Linked DNA regions of Macaca fascicularis. The protein of the gene in region 2 purifies or fractionates together with the protein of the main gene of each other region. This does not show direct contact. Links are inferred from orthologs where the notes say so. Each region holds a gene or a part of one and is shown on either strand. Other genes may lie near its edges.

Region 1 (4,183 bases), about 36 Mb from region 2:
CTACAATTTACTCTCTGGCTCTTTATAGAAAAAGCTGGCCAGACGCAGTGGCTCATGCCTGTAATCCCAGCACTTTGGGAGGCCGAGGCGGGCGGATCACGAGGTCAGCATATCGAGTCCATCCTGGCTAACATGGTGAAACCCCATCTCTACTAAAAATACAAAAATAGCCGAGCGTGGTGGGACGCGCCTGTAGTCCCAGCTACTGCGAAGGCTGAAGCAGGAGAATCGCTTGAACCCAGCAGGTGGAGGTTGCAGTAAGCTGAGATTGTGCCACTGCACTCCACCCTGGGCGACAGAGTGAGACTCTGTCCCCCAACACACACACACACACACACACACACACAGTTTGCTAGTTTAAATCAGTGAATTATCCTGGGGAGAAAAAAAAAAAAACCGGGCTAATATCAGAGATAAATGCTATGAATGTACTAAAACAGGCTGATTTGTAATGCATTTGGAGGGAGGTTCCTTATAGAGGATGATGAAAATAGTTGTCTCTGAAGAGGTGACATCTAAACTGAGAACCGAATGACAACACCCAGGGTAAGTGTGTTTTAGACAAAGGGATTATTAGCAAGGGCAAAGGCCCTGAGGCAGGAATGAACATGACACATTTGGGAAACAAATAGCCCGAGTATTTGCAAGTGTAATGAATGAAGGGGCAAGTAGTAGAAAGTGAACTTAAAGGGGAGACAGCTGCAACAGCCTTTTGGATTTCATTCTAAGGTCAACAGGCAGCTGAGAAAGGGTTTTAAGCCAGACAGAGGCATGAACCCGCTGCTCTGTGAGAGTGGGCTGTAGAATGGCATATGCCGCGGTGGTCCAGGAGAGAGCTGGTCCGGGCTTGGATAGGGATGCTGTCGGCTCTGGTGCCGGTGTTGCTACAGGTGCGGAGGATGTCGGCAGAGCCAGAGGCCCACGCTAGCAAGGCTAGGAAAGAGAGGCCAGGTCTTATTCCATCTCTGGGGAAAGACAGAAGAGCCCTAAGTAAGACTTATCTGTCCCAGGCGGAGCAGGGGAAGAAGAGAGCAGGTGGGGAGCCAGTTGGGAGGCGGAAGGTGGAGGGCGGGGCGCGGAGAGACTGGCTTAGACTAGACGATGGGAGGACCCGGCGTCCTCGGACGGCGGGCGGCGAGTGGCGAGAGGCGGGAGGCGGGAGGCGGGAGGCGGGAGGCGGGAGGCGGGAGGCGGGAGGCGGGAGGCGGGGACGAGAGGAGGGCGGGGAGGCGGGGACCCGGCCGGCGGGGGTGGGGAGGCTGGAAACTGGCCCTCGCGAGGCAGCCTGTGCGCGCTAGGGGGAGCCGCACCCGCCGCCCTCCTCTGCTGCACTGCACCTCTCCCTGGCCGGGCTGACCCCGCCTCCTCCAGCCCTCCCCGCCCCACTACCCAGGAAGGCCGTGAGTGGTGCGAGCGCCGCTTTCGCTTTCCCTTCGCGGTGCCCACTCCGTTCCTCGTGCGGCGCTAGGCCCCCCGTCCCGGTCATGGCCACGCTCAGGGTTCAGCCCGAGGCCCAAGCCAAGGTGAGCGCCGCGGGGTCTAGAAAAGGCCCACTGGGGAGGCGTGGCTCGAGCGGCCGGGGGCATCCCCGACCCGCCCCCCAGACTCCCACACAAGTCAGGGGCAGTCCGCCGAGCTGGCGCTCCCGGAGCACCTGCGCCCCGGGGAGGGCGGTGACTGCTGCCTGCGGGGACAGGCGAGGCGGCCGTGGTTCTGTGGGGTGAGGTGAAGCGGAGAGCTGGCGTGGAGGGGAACTCCGCTGGCCTGGAGCCGGGGCCACACACAGACTGGATGCGGGACTGCCCCAGCTACCTCGTGGCCTTTCCCTTAGGGAGGGTCCCGGGGCCCACCCCGTCCCTGTCCTGCTCGCAGAGGGCTCTCAGCACCCCTCCTCACACCTGCCAGGCGACCCCAGGGATCTGGTCTCACGTGAACCACTGGCCCTTCACTGCCAGGAATGTTCTCATCCCCCGTATCCAGCCCTAGGGATACCCATTCCACTCTCCGTAGATCCAGGTCTGCAGAGTTCCACTCCTCCACCACCCCAACCCACCCCACAGGCATCCATCTCGCTTTCTTCAGGTCTGGCCTTAGAGGGATCCCCTCCACCCTTCCCCAGGTCAGGCCCTACATAACCCTAAGGGAACTGTCCTCAAATGAACTGGCCTTAAAGCCAAGTTTCTGAAGGGATGCATGTGCCCCACAGGTGGATGTGTTTCGTGAAGACCTCTGTACCAAGGTAAGACATGCCCCATCAGCGGCCCCACCCCTGCCCAACTCCTACTGCTCAACCCTGCCTCACCACCTAGGATGGGCATATGATGCTGACTCCCATCCTTCTCCATCCCACCTCACACACAGACAGAGAACCTGCTCGGGAGCTATTTCCCCAAGAAGATTTCTGAGCTGGATGCATTTTTAAAGGTACCGCAGCTGGGCAGGGAGCTAGGGAGTAAAGGCCAAGAGAAGGGTCAGGGGCTGTGAGAGTGAGGTGAAAGGAACCCCCTCACCTCCAGCCCTCCTCCCACCCTACACCAGGAGCCAGCTCTCAATGAAGCCAACCTGAGCAATCTGAAGGCCCCGTTGGACATCCCAGTGCCTGATCCAGTCAAGGAGAAAGAGAAAGAGGAACGGAAGAAACAGCAGGAGGCAAGCTGGGAAGACCTGGGAGAAGGGATCCAACCATGGGGGTAATCAACCTTAGTCCTGACTCTCATGAGCCCCTCTTTTTCTGCAGAAGGAAGACAAGGATGAAAAGAAGAAGGGGGAGGATGAAGACAAAGGTACTTGAAACCACAATTGTGGGAAGAGACTTGAGTCCCACCCACAGGAGCTACTCCTAAGGATTTCTTTCTACTCTCCCCTTCAACCCTCACACAGGCTCAATCATGTGACTGACCCATTGCTCACTCTCTAGGTCCTCCCTGTGGTCCAGTGAACTGCAATGAAAAGATCTTGGTCCTTCTGCAGCGCTTGAAGCCTGAGATCAAGGATGTCATTGAGCAGCTCAACCTGGTAGGCTCTCCCCCTTCAACTCTCAGGCTTTAAGTCAAACCATTGTCCTCTTAGTCCCTGCCATTTAGGGCCTGGCACATGCCAGGTTTTAGCAAGAGAGGGCACAGCAAGTGAAACCAGAAGTCCGGGCTCTGAGGCTCAGGAGAGACCTGGCATGCCTCCAGCCAGTGTGGGGAGGGAAGCAAGGGAGAATATGAAACGGAATTGGATAGAGGGCTGATGTGGCATTACGCCATTCCCTCTTCCCAGGTCACCACCTGGTTGCAGCTGCAGATACCTCGGATTGAGGATGGTAACAATTTTGGAGTGGCTGTCCAGGTGAGAGTGCTGCCCCACTTCCCTGCTCTTTTCTAGTCCATGCTTCCTTCTACTTTCCCCCTTGCTTTTTTTCCCTAGGAGAAGGTGTTTGAGCTGATGACCAGCCTCCACACCAAGCTAGAAGGCTTCCACACCCAAATCTCTAAGTGAGTGACCACCCATGTACACACTGTCTGTTTTGGGACAGAGACCTCCTTCTTCTACTCCATACACACTTCTCCTTCCACAGGTATTTCTCTGAGCGTGGTGATGCAGTGACTAAAGCAGCCAAGCAGCCCCATGTGGTAGGTGAGGCCCAGGTCAGGGTGCATGAGGGAAGGACTCATGTAAGGTCAGGCCTGACCCGAGCTTCCCACAGGGTGATTATCGGCAGCTGGTGCACGAGCTGGATGAGGCAGAGTACCGGGACATCCGGCTGATGGTCATGGAGATCCGCAATGCTTATGTGAGGAGGCGAGGGCAGGGGTGGGCAGAGGCAGCTTTCCCAGGCCACGCACTCCCTGACCCTGCAGGCTGGGGGTAAAGGGTGACAAAGCGCAGCTTCTCCACAAGGCTAGAAATGGGGCACAGAGCCACTGGAGGCCTCTGACTGACCTCCACTCCTCCCTGGCCCTGTAGGCTGTGTTATATGACATCATCCTGAAGAACTTCGAGAAGCTCAAGAAGCCCAGGGGAGAAACAAAGGGAATGATCTATTGAGAGCCCTCTCTCCCATTCTGGGATGGGTACAGCAGAGACCTTCCTACTTTTTACTGGGGACTCCAGATTTTCCCCAAACTTGCTTCTGTTGAGATTTTTCCCTCATCTTGCCTCCCAGGCACAATAAATATAGTTATACCACTGCCCATCA
Region 2 (4,158 bases):
TGGACAAGTGTATCCAAAGGCCCTGATAATCAGCATTTACCAAGCCTACCATCACTGAAGGGAAAGTCTCTACTTAGCATGGCCAGCTCTCCATGAGCTGCAAAGTTCTGCACATCTAAATATAACCAACATCTCACACCGTGTACAAGGCTTGGCTAAATTCTTCCCAGATCTCCAACAGGCTTGTTCTTTAGTAAGATTCAGTATAATTCAACAAAATCCTGCATAGCTATTCTAAACAATACTTTGAGGGCCTACTATATGCCTGACACTATACTATTTTATTTCATTCATTTTATTTCATTAAACTGCCACAACCACTTGAGGAGACTCTGAGGCCCAAAGAAATTAAATAATTTGTGCAAGATCACATAGCCTGCATGGGGGAAGCCTGGAGCTGAACCCAAATCAGTGTGACTACTATGTCTGTACTCTTACCACTACACAATGCTAGTTTCTCTACTAAGTGTTTGCCCTGCACTTAAAAGGAGTAACACATGGTACCAGGCCTCAAAGAGGTTTCAAGCAAAATAAAGGTACAACTTCAATCCTACCACATCACACAGAAGAGCCCTCCCAAATTACATAGATCCCACTTATGTGAGAAAGTGAGATTTTTTTTAAAACTCTTTCCTAAAATCTCACTTACTCATTGAGTTTATAAATTTTTTCAGAAAAAAAGACTTCATCGAGAAGCTTGTGGATGTTGCGTCTCTCTGCTGCAAGCAAAACACCATCATTTGCTAAAATTCCCAAACAGGTGCCTGCATGTCCAATAGCTTCCATGGCATATTCAACTTGGTATAAGCGACCTACAAAACAAAAGCAGTGAGAAGCCAAGACTCTCCTCTATGCTCTTGCACCACTGACCCAAAAGAAATTAGCAAGGAAGCAAGCTAGAAACAAATTCCCACTTTCACTCTTCTATGGTATAATCAACCCGGTGACCATAATTGCTTCGAAGTACAAAAAGGATGAACTTTGCAACTACCAAAAAAAGTTTGTAATTTTTTTTTTCTAAAAGTCTAACACATTTTTTTTTTAAACTTGAGGCAGATTAAACAATTTCTATTTTACCTTCTGGAGAAAATATAGTGGTCCTGGAGTCATATCTTCGAGACTGCAAAGGAAAAACACATGAGTGATTCCTACCCACTGAAAGTAGGCCAACTCCTGCAAGCCCACAAATCACCTTACAAAACCTATCCTGGTATACAAAGTTCAGCAGATGAGAGGAAACTGACAAGAAAAAAGGCACCATCTCACTGCTTTCCTTCTATTTCAATTTTCCCACACAAGTCTGTAAGCTGAGTACAAGCAATACTATTTATCAGGCAACAGTTTACTGGCACATGTATTAACTCACCATGTTTTCTGAACTTTATATAGTTCCTGTAAAAAGAAAATCAGATCATCATTAAAATAAGATTCACAAATTAAAAAGCATTTGCTGACTTTACAAATTAGTTTTATTTACTCCCTTTATTCAGCTAAGTGTCAGGCGTTATGCTAGATGCTGGAATACCAAAATGTGTAAAACCAATTCCTGTCCTGAAAAGCTAATACTGGCAGTTAGGTGAGAGAGGCAGTCATAGATTATAATGCAGAAAGAGGAACCGGGGGTAGAATGGGAAAAGGGATGATGAAAAAAATCCAGAAAGTATTTTTTGAGAAACCGATACAGAAAATGAAAGTAAATCAGAGACGGGAGAGGCAGAAATAAGGCTGAGAACTCCTGGGTCTAAGAGAAAGAACAGGGGAAGAAAGAAGGGAAGGGCACTCCAGACAGAGCAGAAAGTATGAACAAAGGGTACTGAGGCAGGATAGCTTAGTGGGCATGAGACAAACTGCTGATGTTTTTAAAAATACATAAATAAGAGCTAAGCGAGTATCCAAATCCCGCGGAGCCTTGAATGCCAAGTTAAGACACTTAGGCCTTCTCCAGAGAGTCCTGAACTTGGGGGTGGAGGCAGTTATCTTGGGCACCATCAGTACCATTCGTGCAAAAGGCAATACTGGGTGCTCAGTGTTATTTGGTAAAGCCTCAGTCCAAAGCCCACATTCCCAAATACTGGAATACAGGGAATCAAGACTGGAAAGGTAAGCTGGAATCAAATCCTGGAGAGCCCGCGTGCCCAGGTAAAAACAGAATTTTCTCTCTCAGCCACTGGGGCTCCTCGGAATGATTCCCAAGGCCCGCAAGAACTGATTAGCATTTTAAATGATCCCTCTGGCTCGTGAGAGACGGAGGGCAGCGAACTGGTTGAGGTAATAGGAAGGTGCAAAGTAAGGATGGCCCAGAGCAGAGAAACAGGTAGGACACAGAGAGACTCGCCGGGGATTTCTGATTCGAGCGTAAGCACAACTTTCTGTGGTCTCCACGCCTGACGCCGGTCACAGCACGATTTTGAGTTCACCGGCACCTCTGGGAGCGCTAACTTTCACGTACCGAACTCCCGGGGACGGAAGCCGCCCCGAGTCCTCGGTCCTGCCCACAGATCCCCACCCTCAGCTCGCCCCCTCGCCGGGCCCCGGCGTCCAGGCTCGGCACGGGGAAGCCTCCAACGGCGGCCGGAGGGGGCCATTCCCGGCGGCTGGTCTGTCACCGTGGAGGCGGTGCAGAGTCATCGTGCCCACGGCTCCTCGGCGGCAACTGCAGGCCGGGACCGACTGTCTTGACGTTCACTACCCCCGCCGAAGGGAAGAGCGGCCATGCTTCCGCGGGCCCCCAGGGGCCAAAGGCTCACCAGATGGAAGACCCTGAAGACTTCAGATGTCCACTGAGCCCTTATCTCCGCGGGAAAATAAACCACCAGGGCTGCCCGAATAACCGCTGCTAATATGGCCCCCGCGCTTGCGCAGAACCGCTAAGGGAGGGGGTAGTGGGATGGCCGAGGACACGGAAGTCCTCCTTGTGGGGCGGAGCTAGAACCCGTGGCCCTCGTGGGAGCTGGGGCGCTGCAGCAGGTGGAGGAGTTGCTGCGCCATGGGGAGGAGGGCAGGAAGACCGTAGCCAACCAGAAGGTGGAATAACTAATTTCCTTCTCTTACCCTTGGCGCTCTACTTTCACTTTCTCTTCACTATTCACACCTAGGATAGCAAATAGTGTGGACCGGCTTCTTAATTGCTACCATTCCTGTCCTGTTTCCCGAAATGGTTCCAATCACATGAGACTTTACCTCTGTAATCATCTCCCTTTTTCATTCTGGCTTTCACTTTTACTGCTGATGTATACATTTTGGACATTTACATTATGATGAGGAAGGCTGGGTGGCTCACGCCTGTAATCCCAGCACCAGCACTTTGGGAGGTCGAGGAGGGTGGATCACCTGAGGTCGGGAGTTCGGGACCAGCCTGGCCAACATGGTGAAACCACGTCTCTACTAAAACTACAAAAATTACCCGGGTGTGTGGTGCACGCCTGTAATCCCAGGAAGCTGAGGCATGAGAATCGCTTGAACTCAGGAAGCGGAGGTTGCAGTGAGCCAAGAGTGCACCACTTCACTCCAGCCTGGGCAACAGAGTGAGGCTCCGTCTCAAAAAAAAAAAAAAAAATGATGGTCGGGCATGGTGACTCACGCTTGTAATTCTACTGCTTTGGGAGGCTGCGGCAGGAGGATGGCTTGAGGCTAGGAGTTTGAGGCTGTAGTGAGCTGTGATCGCGCCACTGCACTCCAGCCTGGGTGACAGACAAAGACTCTGGCTCTAAAAATTAAAAAAAAATTATGGTCAGGTTCACACTTTTAGAATTTTCACTTGGTGTGTTTCTCTGCTTTTCACCAGTCAGAAAGGATTACCCTGACCAGCGTAGTTAAAACAATACCCTACTGTCAGCATATACTTGCACCATTTTATCTTCTTTACTGAAATTGTCATACTTGTTTATGTGTTCATTATCCATCTCTCCACCCTTTTGCTCATTCAGCCTCAGTCCCTATGTAAACTATCTACTATTCATTTCAGGTTTTTTCAGGCTAGAAGGTTGACTAGATCTGGGTTCATATGAAGTCATCTGCTCAGTCTCTCCCAAAAAGCAACCCATTGGGCAGAAACTCTGTCCTCTTCATGTTGGTTGCAAAATAATTGGGGGATGTGGGCTTTGAAAAGGAGATGGCTTGGAAGTTGCATTTTGGGGTCTCACCTATCATCTCTGCTTT
Region 3 (3,521 bases), on a different chromosome or scaffold from region 2:
CAAAATCAAGTTTTTGATGTGTATACATGTAGATTCATTTTAAATGCAGAAATTCACATATTGAAAACAACATAATTGAAAACTAATTTTATTTCACTGTCACAGCTGCATTAGAGACATGTAAATATTTGCACATATGTTGCTGTTTTCTTTGCAGAGTTGGTCAAACGCCATGCTGGGGTGCTAGGACTTGGCGCATGTGTTCTTTCTAGTCCTTATGATGTTCCCACCTGGATGCCCCAGCTCCTCATGAATCTCAGTGCACATCTAAATGATCCTCAGCCTATTGAGGTACAGTTCTTCCTTATTAGTTTGTACATGTAGTATCAGTGATGTTTTCTAAGAAACCATAATAATAATTTCCTATACACTCTGAACTAACTGCTTTCATAAAGCTACTGCCTCTGCCAGGGCTCAGTCTGTTCACCAGTAATTATTTAAAAATTACAGAGACCTTGCTGCCATGGATATTTGAGATCTTTTGGTAGTCAGGAAATTATTGTAGCTTCTATCCCTCCCAGTTCAATGGAAGTAAAGTACTGTCACTATAGCTGTGATAAATTTTATGTTTCTATTTTTCTAGCACTGCAAAGTATTTTACTGGAAGCTAGTATTAAATCGGAAATTATGATGGCATTTTTAGTAACTCAAAAGACCATTGACTTTGTCCTTCTCATCGGCTTTTTGGTTTTGTAGCATTTGGTATTGTGTGAGATCTGAAGTCTAGAGGGATGGTAATTTAACTAAAAATATCCTACCTATGATCCTGGTTGTCCAGAGAGGTTAAAAACGTATGTGGATTGTCTACTTTACAGATGACTGTAAAAAAAACCTTATCCAATTTCCGAAGGACTCACCATGACAACTGGCAAGAACACAAACAGCAATTCACTGATGACCAACTGCTTGTTCTCACCGATCTTCTTGTGTCACCATGCTATTATGCATAGAAAGGTAAGTTGGCAAAGTTCTGAATTTAAAGACATGACATCCTCAGGCAAATGTCATTGGTTTGGTGACTGAGAAGTAGGTATTTATTGTTTTTTTTTTTCTTTTTGCTGACATTCTTAGATGTCAGTGTTTAGATAAAGTTGGATGGTGGGGGTTGTTTGTTTTTAAACATGGCTTTTGCCACAGCCATTGGAAATGAGAATTTTTCTGTGCCTCCTTGCTTTAGGTATAAAGCAGAGAAAATGTGTGACAGCTTTTGAACCTTTGTAAATGAGTGGTGTCAGTAGCCTGGGAATAGTTAGATAAAGGAAAATAAATCTTATTCTTAGTTGCCTCCTGGGTGGGACTGGGACATTTTGTGTGGCCCTGAGGACTCTGGGTTCTAGAAAGTTGTGAGAACATTTCATCTGGATTCTTACACCCATTCTGTTAAAGAGGGAGCCTTTCTACTGGAATAGGAAGAATAAAATTTCATGTATTGGGCTTTTAGAGTTGGATGTCCTGTTACCTAATTGAAATTTTTTCCTCCCTGATACAGATGACTAGTCCTCACTTCAGGCTCTTTTCATCAAAAATTCCACACCCTCAGGTACCATCTGTGGTGGCTCTCTGCAAGTTTTAAAACTGCCTCTGCTGAGCTCTCATCATTTTGGTGGTTTCTGTGTTAGATCTCATTAGTGTGCATTCCACAGCTTCTCAGTTGCCATTTGATTTCCTAACTTGTCCGGAAGTGTTTCCAGAATACTGATCACTTTTTTTTTTTTTTGAGGCATCTGACAAAGTCACAAAGTCTCAGACTAGAAATAATTACCCAGTATGATCATGGCATCCAAGACCAGAGTCTCGGAACTCATTAAGAAACAGTTGACTTGGAATGGAGAATGCCCATCTGTCACACAGGTCCTGTCATTTCATTCTTCTCAAGTTATTTTCAATTCTTCCCAAATGGCTGCTGGATTTAGATGGTAGTAGGGCTGTGGGCCATAAATCTGAAGCCTTGAGAACCTTGGGTCTGGAGAGCCATGAAGAGGGAAGGAAAAGAGGGCAAGTCCTGAACCTAACCAATGACCTGATGGATTGCTCGACCAAGACACAGAAGTGAAGTCTGTGTCTGCGCACTTCCCACAGACTGGAGTTTTTGGTGCTGAATAGAGCCAGTTGCTAAAAAATTGGGGGTTTGGTGAAGAAATTTCTGATTGTTGTGTGTATTCAATGTGTGATTTTAAAAATAAACAGCAACAACAATAAAAACCCTGACTGGCTGGTTTTTCCCTGTATTCTTTACAACTATTTTTTGACCCTCTGAAAATTGTTATACTTCACCTAAATGGAAGACTGCTGTGTTTGTGGAAATTTTGTAATTTTTTTTCTTTATTTTGTTCTCTCTCCCTTTTTATTTTGCCTGCAGAATCGTTGAGAGACTAATAAGGCTTGATATTTAATTGATTTGTTTAATATATGTTATATAAATGTAAAAGATTGTATAAACTGTAGAGATAGCATTGGCAAGACTTTGTACAGATGCAACCTTTTACACAACATCATTGTGTAATTTGTAAAGATTCACATGTAGTTCTTTATTATAGTGATTTTGGGCTTTTGTACCCACTGAATGCCATTTTTTGTGTTTTTAAATTATTTTCTTTTATCTTTCCTTGTTATAAAAACTGAGATGTGGTGTTTTTCTCTTTTTTTCAGTTCATTTATCATTAGAATGTCTGAACTTTTATGTAACGTTTTTGTGTGCATCTCTCAATGCTAACACCACATGTTTGCGTATGACAAGTTTATAGAGTGAAAGGTATCTTCTAGATTGAAATAATTCACAAATCGGTGAATATAATCTTGGAACACACCCTGTACAGTCTTCCTTAAAGGAACACTACAGTATATTTTTAGTATCTACATGCTGAATGACTCAGTACAGACCTAAGCACAGCAGTGGTCCTGGTACAGTATTTAAGTGTCAGCATACACAGGCGTAATCCCTGTATAAAGTAGTGCCAAATTGATTTCAATTGTGTAACTAGTTTAAAACCCAATAAATGGATTGTTTTTAACACCTGGCTTTTGTCTTCATTAAGAGGAGAAGACAGTTCTGTAGGCAGTGACTCCTGTGGATTTCATTTTGCAGCCGTAGATTTTTATCTGTAAATGTATGTCCTCTGATCAGTATAAATTTTCTAGGTCTGCTCTGTACAATACAGTAGCTACTAGCCACATCTGACTGTTTATATTTAATTAAATAAAAAGTTTATTCCCTCAGTCTCACTGGCATATTTTAAATACTCTTTAGCCACTTGTGGCTAGTGGTTACCACACTGAATAGCATCGATGAACTTTTCCATCATCACAGAAAGTTCACCTAGCACTGACCTAAGTGATTGATTATTTTTGTGTGGGGGTGTGGGAGACGGAATTTTGCTCTGTCATCCAGGCTGGAGTGCAATTGCACAATCTCAGCTTACTGCAACCTCTGCCTCCCACATTTAAGCAATGTTCATGCCTTGGCCTCCGGAGTAGCTGGGACTGTAGGCATACACCACCACACCCGGCTGATTTTTGTATTT

The links.
Region 1: the proteins of PSMA4 (region 2) and PSME1 purify together in Homo sapiens (affinity purification with western blotting; 4 studies listed by BioGRID and IntAct, with this or other methods). This does not show direct contact. The link is inferred for Macaca fascicularis from reciprocal best matches to the Homo sapiens genes PSMA4 and PSME1.
Region 3: the proteins of PSMA4 (region 2) and PSME4 purify together in Homo sapiens (affinity purification with mass spectrometry; 4 studies listed by BioGRID and IntAct, with this or other methods). This does not show direct contact. The link is inferred for Macaca fascicularis from reciprocal best matches to the Homo sapiens genes PSMA4 and PSME4.

Annotation. Positions count from the first base shown.
Region 1 is NC_088381.1:91,949,877-91,954,059, forward strand, and holds PSME1 (proteasome activator complex subunit 1), read left to right. Parts: upstream 1-1,369; 5' UTR 1,370-1,484; coding exon 1,485-1,523; intron 1,524-2,206; coding exon 2,207-2,239; intron 2,240-2,361; coding exon 2,362-2,424; intron 2,425-2,538; coding exon 2,539-2,649; intron 2,650-2,737; coding exon 2,738-2,783; intron 2,784-2,917; coding exon 2,918-3,015; intron 3,016-3,264; coding exon 3,265-3,333; intron 3,334-3,411; coding exon 3,412-3,479; intron 3,480-3,562; coding exon 3,563-3,617; intron 3,618-3,691; coding exon 3,692-3,778; intron 3,779-3,951; coding exon 3,952-4,032; 3' UTR 4,033-4,178; downstream 4,179-4,183. UniProt on the Homo sapiens protein: Implicated in immunoproteasome assembly and required for efficient antigen processing. The PA28 activator complex enhances the generation of class I binding peptides by altering the cleavage pattern of the proteasome.
Region 2 is NC_088381.1:55,902,914-55,907,071, reverse strand, and holds the start of PSMA4 (proteasome subunit alpha type-4), read right to left. Parts: upstream 2,867-4,158; 5' UTR 2,748-2,866; intron 1,393-2,747; 5' UTR 1,370-1,392; coding exon 1,367-1,369; intron 1,121-1,366; coding exon 1,078-1,120; intron 813-1,077; coding exon 650-812; intron 1-649. UniProt on the Homo sapiens protein: Component of the 20S core proteasome complex involved in the proteolytic degradation of most intracellular proteins. This complex plays numerous essential roles within the cell by associating with different regulatory particles.
Region 3 is NC_088387.1:67,991,625-67,995,145, forward strand, and holds the end of PSME4 (proteasome activator complex subunit 4), read left to right. Parts: intron 1-157; coding exon 158-291; intron 292-815; coding exon 816-950; 3' UTR 951-954; intron 955-1,489; 3' UTR 1,490-3,011; downstream 3,012-3,521. UniProt on the Homo sapiens protein: Associated component of the proteasome that specifically recognizes acetylated histones and promotes ATP- and ubiquitin-independent degradation of core histones during spermatogenesis and DNA damage response.